Drosophila melanogaster: one gene and its partner. Changing the gene in region 1 together with any one later gene gives a genetic interaction. Each region holds a gene or a part of one and is shown on either strand. Other genes may lie near its edges.

The links.
Region 2: of Rab6 (region 1) and Dref, changing one suppresses a phenotype caused by changing the other (phenotypic suppression), as found in Drosophila melanogaster (one study listed by BioGRID).

Annotation. Positions count from the first base shown.
Region 1 is NT_033779.5:12,106,515-12,111,009, reverse strand, and holds Rab6 (Rab6), read left to right. Parts: upstream 1-1,893; 5' UTR 1,894-2,210; coding exon 2,211-2,837; 3' UTR 2,838-3,789; downstream 3,790-4,495. Other genes in the region: Phae1 (phaedra 1), read right to left, coding at 555-1,367; ThrRS (Threonyl-tRNA synthetase), read right to left, coding at 4,248-4,495. UniProt on the Drosophila melanogaster protein: Protein transport. Regulator of membrane traffic from the Golgi apparatus towards the endoplasmic reticulum (ER). Mediates membrane trafficking during egg chamber growth and organization, possibly upstream of exocyst component Sec5.
Region 2 is NT_033779.5:9,963,604-9,969,239, forward strand, and holds Dref (DNA replication-related element factor), read right to left. Parts: upstream 3,627-5,636; 5' UTR 3,283-3,626; coding exon 2,157-3,282; intron 2,066-2,156; coding exon 1,773-2,065; intron 1,713-1,772; coding exon 1,325-1,712; intron 1,265-1,324; coding exon 942-1,264; 3' UTR 544-941; downstream 1-543. Other genes in the region: RpL13 (ribosomal protein L13), read left to right, coding at 4,032-4,274, 4,336-4,644, 4,714-4,818.

The DNA of each region.
Region 1 (4,495 bases):
TTGTCTTTCAGATAAGAGCCTATTATAACTTAAGATTATACGATTTTATATATATATATTTCTCTCTTGTTATGATAGACTCAGTCAACAATGAGAATAGATGCAAAAGGGTGTTGAGGGCAATATCTCAAGTTTGTCATTCTGTATTTTCGAGGGGATCCCCGTCCATTGATAAGGAAAATATTATAAATATAATATCTATAAGACCATTGTTAAAAAGGTTAGTTCTGGTAAGAAATGTTTAGATTTTGAAACCATAGTCTCAACATTATTTACTTAACTCACATATTTCACAATGATTCGGTTCGTTATTCTGTTATTGTGCAATGTAAGAAATTGTTATTTACAGCCCGAAAATATGTGAAGCATATAAATCTGTTCGTTGGTTGCTCACCGTGTTCCTCTCTCTTTACGAGATAAGATAAACTTTAAAAAACAGCTCGTTGTTTGATATAGTAGCTGTGATGCGAAGGAAAGTCCCACATTTAAGTGACCGCCACTAGGGACACACATTTGATTGCTTTTATTGAAAAAATAGGGAAAAACTCGACTATTTAGGACACCTGCTGGTTAGCCGATATCCACGATATAAACGACGAGACCTGCACGTAAACCGACGGTGAGTTGGCCTGACCACAAGGTAACTTGCCCCAGGACACGATGCCAATAAGGACATTGCCCTGGACCAGTGGTCCGCCCGAATCCGAGGTGCAAATGCTAACGCCGCCAGTTAGAGGACCAGTGCACAGATTGGTCGAGTGGACATCGCTGCCCTTGGTGCCCAGGGCGCTTTCGCAGGAGCTCAGCGAAATGATAGGCACATTGGTGGCCACCTGCAGGGTCGACGGATAGGAGGCGGTATTCGTGGTGCTAGTGCTGCCCCATCCGTACAGATTGGCGGTGCCAGTGGGCACCACTCCCGAGGATGGTAGCGTCACTGGGGCAACGGCGGCGCTCCAAACGAAGGCGGTGGGCGTGTAGATCATTCCGATGTCATAGGGCACAGTTCCGCCGGTGTACAAGTCATTGATCACGAAGTACGTGATGCTCCGCGTCTGCGTAGTGCTTGCAGTTCCGTCCACCGCGATGCTTCCGGCCACCAAGGTGCTGCCCAGCACCTGGTTACTATTGGTCAGGCAGTGGGCAGCGGTGACTAGCCAGTTGGCATTCAGAATGCTGGCGGCACAGTAATGGGTGCCACCGTACTGCATGGACACCGCATAGGGAGCACTATTCACCGCTGCCGGAGATCCACCCACGACACGCCCCTCGGGTGCGCCGATAGCCACTCCGGATATTCGGCATATGCCCAGTAGGAGAAGAAGCCCACTGGCCAACGACTTTGTTTGCTGTCCGTTCGCTAACATAGTTTTCGCGGAACTGTTTACATCGACCTTTATCGCGGCACGTTTAAATTAATTCGCCATTCCAAAATTTTGCCAGCGCCAGCAGATAAGGCTTTCAATTAAGGACCGTGTGTTCTTCAGATAACCACTTATTATAATTTGAGATTAAGCGACGCCCGAACAGTGACTCTTTGACAGAAGTACGTCAAGTTCCACCGATAGGATGGGCAAATACCTACGCTCGTTTATCTAAAAACAAGCAAATCACTTTAGAGAGCTTTATATTTGAAAATCGCGTTATCACCTGTTAGTATTTCTTACACTTAGTATTCACTTTTTAATATGAAATAAAAAGTTAAGCAATTACCTTGTACTTCATCAGTATTTAAACATTTTAAGCAGGTAAATTTTAGTTAAAATTATTTAATAACGGTAACGAATATCAATCGATTTTTTTTTAAATCATAAAACATCGATTTAGTACAAATATGCGTTTATCGATAGCGTGGCAGAGAAATTGCTTTTGATTGCCACTCTGGTCACACAGCAACTGACTCAGAAGTTAAAGAAGAAGAAGCAGAGACCGTAATTTTTCCACGACTCAACCTAGCGATTTACCAAGCCATTCGAGCCGCAATTGAGTCTTTAGCCAGACGGAAAGCATTTAGAGCGTGTGTAATAGAGTGCGGCAACTTGAAAGCGGTGCATCCCGAGAAATCGCAGTGCGAAAGGGCCCCGAAAACCGCTGGCCCAGCCCCATTATAAACAGTGAGGAGGGGTGGAGATTGGTGAGAGCGGAGCGGAGCGAGAAGAGAGTTCAGCAAACCCGTAATTAAGAAAAAGTAGACACGTACGTTGAGGAAGATGTCATCCGGAGATTTTGGCAATCCGCTGCGGAAGTTCAAGCTCGTCTTCCTCGGCGAGCAGAGTGTGGGCAAGACCTCGCTGATTACGCGCTTCATGTACGACAGCTTCGACAACACGTACCAGGCGACGATCGGAATTGATTTCCTATCGAAGACCATGTACCTGGAGGATCGCACTGTGCGCCTGCAGCTGTGGGATACGGCGGGACAGGAGCGATTCCGCTCGCTGATACCCTCGTACATACGCGACTCCACGGTGGCAGTGGTCGTTTACGATATCACCAACACCAACTCGTTCCACCAGACCTCCAAGTGGATCGATGACGTGCGCACGGAGCGGGGTAGCGACGTCATCATCATGCTGGTGGGCAACAAGACGGATCTCTCCGACAAGCGTCAGGTGTCCACCGAGGAGGGTGAGCGCAAGGCGAAGGAGCTTAACGTGATGTTCATCGAGACAAGCGCCAAGGCCGGCTACAATGTGAAGCAATTGTTCCGACGGGTGGCCGCGGCACTGCCCGGCATGGATTCCACGGAGAACAAGCCCTCCGAGGACATGCAGGAGGTTGTGCTAAAGGACTCACCCAACGAGACAAAGGATCCCGAGGGCGGCTGCGCCTGCTAGAACCGGTTGAGCCGACGATCCAACCATCCTCTCCCCCTTTTTCAACAGCAGGAGCAGATGCAGATGCAGGAGATCGGCCAGCAGCACTGGTGTACACAGGTGTCAGGTGTATGTACTGGCCGGATCTGCGGCGGATTCCTCAACATCTATACACACATACACACTTTACGTTTAAGTTTATTTATAAAGTAACAAATGATAGCAAAGGCAAATAGACTAAACAACAATTAACGAAATCGGCTAACTAATTACTGTTAATTGACGAGCTAATCCCGAGCGCAGGCGAGTGCGAATGCTAACTCATTGACACGAGATCAGGGATCAAGATCAGAGTAATATTTGCGAGTTAGCTACCAGACAAGAATATAGTGTAGTGCATTTCCGATACCCCCTAAACCCTCTAAACGAAAAAAAACCCAAGACCATGTACTTATGTCAGGCCAGGCGGTCCCAGGATCCTCCGACATTCCAGCTCTCGGCATCTCCAGCAGTCGTAGATACCACGCAGCCAGTCTGTGTTCAATGATTCCACCAGCCAGGCATTTTGTTTCCAATTTTAGCCCCCGTTCTGTTCTGTTTGCGGCTTTTGTTTCGCCAGTTTTGGTTAGGATTTCGGTTTTTTTTTTAGCACAGCGAACGCGACTGCTAACTGGAACTGTGGATGGCATAGGACTTGGCCACGTGCATCTTATGAATAAATATACACAAATATAAAATATGTATTTTTATGACTAAAACTGAAACAGATAAGCAGAGCACGAGCAGAGCAAACACTTAACAATATTATTAACGATTTTTGCTTCGATTAGCGAGAGAACTTTGTGCATTTTTTACGCGAAAAGCAAAAGCTTACAAAATTGATAATTGAATAAAAACATAAACTATTGATGCAATTTTTAATAAATCAAATTATGAAAATGAAAAGTATACAAGATACTAGCAATAAATTAATACAAAAAAATAAATTCAAAACATGACTCATACGTTGTGGGTGCACGCACACCTTTCCCAAAAAGTTTTCCGCCAAATGTGGGCCGACTTATCTTATCATTCCAAATCGTTCCTGAATGGACTACAGCGCACCTCTGTGTCGGCATGACTAGTCCTCAATTGCTGACAAATTCCACTGATTCGTCAAGAAACTGGAGTGAAATAGGCGGCTTAAGGTGGATCAGAAAAATACGATTTTTAGTTGGGGAAGCTTAATAATCGTATATTGAATCGAATTGCTTTTATTTGATTGCATGCTCTTCTCTTCTATTTGAAACACCTTAAAATGTGTTTGGATTTGGTTTTTTATTTGTGAATTCCGGTTTCGTAAGCGTAAATACATAGAAAGAACAAAAATGCGTACTTGCTTTGCTATGCAAATGTTAAGTATACTTTTGATAAATAGTTCGAAATAGAGTCTTAGAAGCTGTCCTCGTTGGCGATGAATTCGTCGCGAATCTTTTGCAGCTTTGTGATGAGTTCCGCCACGGAGACCTCGCCGTGCACCTTGTTGTCCCGAGTGCGCACGTTAACGGTATTCGAGGAGCGCTCCTTGTCGCCCACCACCAGAATGAAGTTGAACTGGGCCAACTGAGCATTGCGTATCTTCTTGTTCATCGTGTCGCCGGCATCGCAATCCGCCTCGCTCATGAATCCAGCATCGTGCA
Region 2 (5,636 bases), 2.1 Mb from region 1:
ACGCTGGAGGCGCATTTTCAGAGATCTCCTGCTGGCAGAGCAAGTTCTTCGATCTATTGGTTTCAGTCCTATTGGCAGTAATATCGCGGCTTTCGTGCCCTTCTTTTGTGAGGAATCCAGTTCGTGGGTCGGGTGCCTACGTCTAATTGGTGTGACCAGCCAATGCGAAATCCGAAATGACTAAAATACAGACTTCCTCCCGGTTTTATATTATTTAAAATTTTTACTATTTGTTTTATTTTAAAGTTTAAAAGCTATCAGTAAAAAAATTAACTTAATTAAAAAACAAATGTCGAAGATTATTTAGATTTTGTTTGTCGCAGACGAAAAATATGAAAATTTTCCGATGATTTAAAAAAGGGAAATTTCGAGGGCTGCAGAGTAAAAAAATAAAACATATTTTGAAAATTAAAGAAATATGTCAAATATATAAAGTAGCTAACTCCAAACCGACTACTAATTGTTTCGTAGTTCAGAAATTTTTTTAATACTGAATTAATTGTAAAATATCTAATTTTAGTTAGTTCAATAAAACAATTCACGAAAGTTAGATGCATTTTATTTATTTATAAGATTAAAATATCAATTATGTACAACTAAGTTAAGTATTTAATTAGTTCTCTTGAAATGGATATAAGGGGATTTACAAGTGAGCTTGATAAGCGTGATATTTTTTCGTTATGGATTTATTAAACAAATATTCTTAGATTATCTGTTTGATTTGAATATATGATGTCAAAATGTTCCCTTAACATTTATACGTCGATAACTTAAGATGTTCCGTGTACGTCCCAAGGCTGTCTTTTGGTTAAAAGTACTGCGGAATCGCTATTACTATTTGCCTCGCCCCTGGTAGTCATTTTCATATACACAAGATCGGATTACGTTAAAAGTAATTAAAAAGTATTTGCATTATAAGAAACAGTAGTCGCCAGTGCAGACTAATTGTTGTGATGATGAAGAAAGAGGATGGCGTCGATGTGACTACCGGTGAGCATGAATCGCTTGTTGAAGTCGTATATTTGGTCTCTCAGCGCCTTCTTGAAGCTGAGCGTCACCACGCCGGGCACACTATGGTACAGGCTGGCCAAATCGCGGAGCGTTCCATAAATGTGTCCCATCTTGAGCCACCACTCGATGGGCGACTCATCCAGCTGAACGACCACCTCGTTGCGATATCGCTTAAGATCGGACTCCACGCTGCTGTCCGCATCTCGCTTCGGAGGATTTGGTATCTCGTTACTGTCAAACAGCAGTTTCAGACCTACGGGCATTTTCGTTTAGTCCATGGTTTATGATAATCGATTTAGTTCGATGCACTTACCCAACTTCTTTGGTGCACTGCCGTCCACTACTCTTGGTTCTGACTTAATGGCCACCACGCTGGAGGTAGCTGCCACTTCGTTGGATTCCCCTTCGCCCACTCCACCAAAGTTAATGTTATACTTATGGGTCAGCATACGAACGGTTCGCTCTAGGTTGTCAATGGTGGTCAGGCGGTGGAAGCGTGGGTCCAACAATGCAGCAGCGGTCAGATTGTCATTGGATATAACGTGCGCCTGGAGGACACTGGAAATGGTCCGCTTCAAATTCATCATTAGGGGATCGTCCTGCTCGGCGATGCCCAACTTCTTGATAAGAATCTTTGAAGTGATTGGCGAAAGCATGCTACACAAGGGAATGTCTTCGCCACGCAGCGTGTCCAAAGCAATCTAAAAGATTTCACACAATAAGAAAACTGCTTAAACGTCTCATTTAGCTTGATGGCTTACCACCAGAGCACTCAGGGCCTCCGTCACCGTCTTGGCTGATATAACCAGGTGATCCATGTCCTCGGACCAAGATATGGACTCGGCAAAGAACTTCAATGTTTCGTACAGTGTCCAGGGGAAGTGCTCGTTGTACGTGGGCATGGGCACCTCGGACACCTTGGAGGCAATCTCCGTTGAATGACGCTGCATTAGGTCCTTCACCTGCTCCAATAAAGTGGCCACCTCTTCGATCTCAAACACACGACGCAAACATTTGTCAATTACCGAAACGTAGCACAGCGAAATGGGTATATCTGCAATAAAAGATTCATATTCATTAGGAAGTCCAATATTTGATATATATTCTATATAAGGTAAATAATTCTGACTTGCTAATGCACTCACTTTTCTCTCGCAGATAGGTGTGCAAAAGGTCCTCTTCCTCGTCGTAGTTTATGATGGCCAGTGTGCAATTGGCCAAATAGAAGTCGGTCAGCAGATCGTCAAAGACGATGTAGTCGTTGTACTCCACGGTGGCATACAGCATACCGCGAACTGAGTGCGTCTCCTCGTCCAGAAAGTGATGGAAGATGCTAAGGAAGCGCCGCTGTTCAACATTCACCCACATCTCAAAGGCGAGAGAGAAGGGCTTCTCGGAGGTGAAATCGCGCGTGATTTCGCCAATCTCCAGAAACTTGGAGGCGTGCATCTCATTGATCAAAGAGTCGATCTTGTGTGGCTCGGGCATGGCTGCCGAATTGCCTAGGACTTGACGCAGGAATTCACCAAAACCGGCATCGTACAGAGAATCCACATTGCGCAAATCCTTAATCACAATGTCCGTAAGGGCTTCGGCCAGATTGGCGATGTTCGCCACGGCGGCATAGCCGCCTTCCTCGTGCTTGATGACACGCCCGTGCATCAGGGCACTCGATGGAGTGGCCACTTTGCGTTTGCGTCCGTACTTTGGTTCCATAACTAGGCGCTCCTCCTCCTCTACCAGATTTTCGGCCTCGTCGTAGGTGAAGGGCACCATGGTCTCGTACAGCATGGTTTGCGAGGAGGCGTCCTCCTCCGCCTGCATGGCCGCAGTTGCCACGGCTGCTTCGTCCAGTTCATCATCGGAAGCGTTATCGTGGTTCCGGTTATTAATGAACTCCAGTTTGACCCGCCGCGAGGAAACATTCCGCTTGGACAGCGGTGGATGGGATACATTACGCGGCGTCTTGCGCGGCGGCACATGGATGTCGTGCTCCTGGCACAGCTCCTTGAACAGATCCTTGTGTCGGTGCTGGAGATGCGCACGCAAATTGGTGGTGTTGCCATGGTTGGTCAGCACCTTGTGACACTTAATGCAGACCACATTCTGTTTGGTAATCACCTCATTATTGTCGTTCGAGGGGAATCCAAAGTAGCGCCAGTATACGCTTTTCATCTTGGGCGAGTACAGTTTGGAAAAATTTAGCTGCGACACATCCTCGTACTTGAGTTCGCCAATGGCCACGGGCGACGCTGGTACCCCTTCGCTCATCTTGTCTTCTGTGGGGGATTGGGATCTTCTTGTTTGTTTTGAATTAGATTCGACAACGATTGCTGTGCCCAATGCGTGTATTAGCGCGCAATTTCTCGATTATAGATAGACGGTTCAATAGTCAATAGTTTTTTATCTGTATCAGAAGTACAGTTCAGAGTTGCCACGCGACACGCCGTCAATCGATAAGGCAATAAAACGTTGCTAAATGCTTCAAATGCACTCTCATTTATTTGAGATTATTTTTACAGACTGCTCAAATATGAGAGTCACCGCTTTTTAATTTCAATACGTCTGACTGTCGTAAAAAATGCGATTTGTTGAGTATTCTCGCTAACACTGATTGCATCACCAATCGATAGCTGGGGAAATTTCTCGCTCGGCCGGGGGAATTTCTCTAGGGAAATTTTCGCTTGGCCTACGACGTGAAGTTGGTTGCGATTTCCTTTTTAATTCGTTGTTGGGAAGAAAAGGTGTGTAAATTTCGTGAGCGTCACGAAATTCAATGAAAATAAAAGATAAACGAAATGCAAATCGAGCCATCGAGTGTGCCAAGTGTGGAGGACACAAGTGGGCATCATTGACACCCGTAGGCATGAAGAAGTGCTCGGAATTACGGCTTAAACAAATCGAAATTCGCCAGCCACGTGGGCCTGCAGCTTGGTTATCCCATATATACGAGTTTACAAAGAGACATTGATGTTATTATTGTGTTTTTGCCCTCGTTGCAGCCAATCTAAACCGCCAAGATGGGTAAGGGTAACAATATGATTCCGAATCAGCACTACCACAAGTGGTGGCAGCGGCATGTGAAGACCTGGTTCAACCAGCCGGCCCGCAAGGTCCGCAGGCATGCGAACCGCGTCAAGAAGGCTAAGGCCGTCTTCCCCCGCCCAGCCAGCGGTGCCCTGCGCCCTGTGGTTCGCTGCCCCACCATCCGCTACCACACCAAGCTGCGTGCCGGCCGTGGTTTCACCCTGGAGGAGCTGAAGGTAAGTGAAGCCGAAAACATTATCGGAATCCATTGGCCACTAACAAAATCTCTGTTTACAGGGTGCCGGCATTGGCGCCAACTTCGCCAAGACCATCGGCATTGCCGTCGACAGGAGGCGCAAGAACAAATCCCTGGAGTCCCGCCAGCGTAACATCCAGCGCCTCAAGGAGTACCGCAGCAAGTTGATCCTGTTCCCCATCAACGAGAAGAAGATCCGCGCCGGCGAGTCCTCTCTGGAGGAGTGCAAGCTGGCTACCCAGCTTAAGGGACCCGTCCTGCCCATCAAAAATGAGCAGCCCGCCGTGGTCGAGTTCCGTGAGGTGACCAAGGATGAGAAGAAGTTCAAGGCCTTCGCCACGCTGCGCAAGGTAAGTTTTTTGGTTTCGTGATCCGCCGGTAGCTCGTTATACTTATTCGCCGCCAAACTATATTTGCAGGCTCGCACTGATGCCCGTTTGGTCGGAATCCGCGCCAAGCGCGCCAAGGAGGCCGCTGAGAGCGAGGACGCCGCCAAGGGAGACCCCAAGAAGGCCAAGAAGTAAACCACATCTTAACCTGATCGTTCTGTCTACAACATCAACCAGAATAAAATCTTAGTTTTTCTTAAACGTGAATATTTGTGCACATTGTTGTTATTGTCGCGTCTGGCGTAAGACTTATCGATAACCCGTGTTGCTATCGATAAGTAGCTTTGGCGCGTTGAATTCAAACTGGCGCGTTTGTTTTTAGCTGCTGCATCCAAAAAAAGAAACGTATGTTGCTTGCCATTACTTTTTTATTTTTTCTTATTTTTACCAGCTTCTTAATTTATTTGGGTTAAATTATTAAAAAGTTAAATCTGTGGTGCCATATAGAAGATTTTCTTAGGATACGCATCTTGAGCAAACGAAAAGGTTGCAGAAGCTACGTTTCTTATTTTTTTAAATATCTTTTGTTGAAATGTTAATTACAATATATTGAATTTTTCATTAGAATGGTGTAGGGTAAAGATTAAACTAAACAACTGTATTTTATCTCTGCAGTAATATATTTGCAATACCTTTTAAGGTATTTATGCCTATGTACATATGTATGTACATATGCGCGTTTCACTATATCTGAAAATATTGAGTTTAAAATTGATAAGCTGAGTGAGTGAAGGGCTTCACTATCGCGTTTCATCTTTTTTTTTACTCGTTTTCAGTTAAGCTTGTTTACTGAAATACAATTTTTGTTTTGATTTCCGTAGCACAAATTCAGAAACTAACCACAAAACTATGAAAAATAAGTGAACATTACGGCGTTGACCCAAATATTATCGCATTTGCACTTCAACCGCAAATATTAATTGAGGCCGCCACCCCGAAACTCGTATTCCATA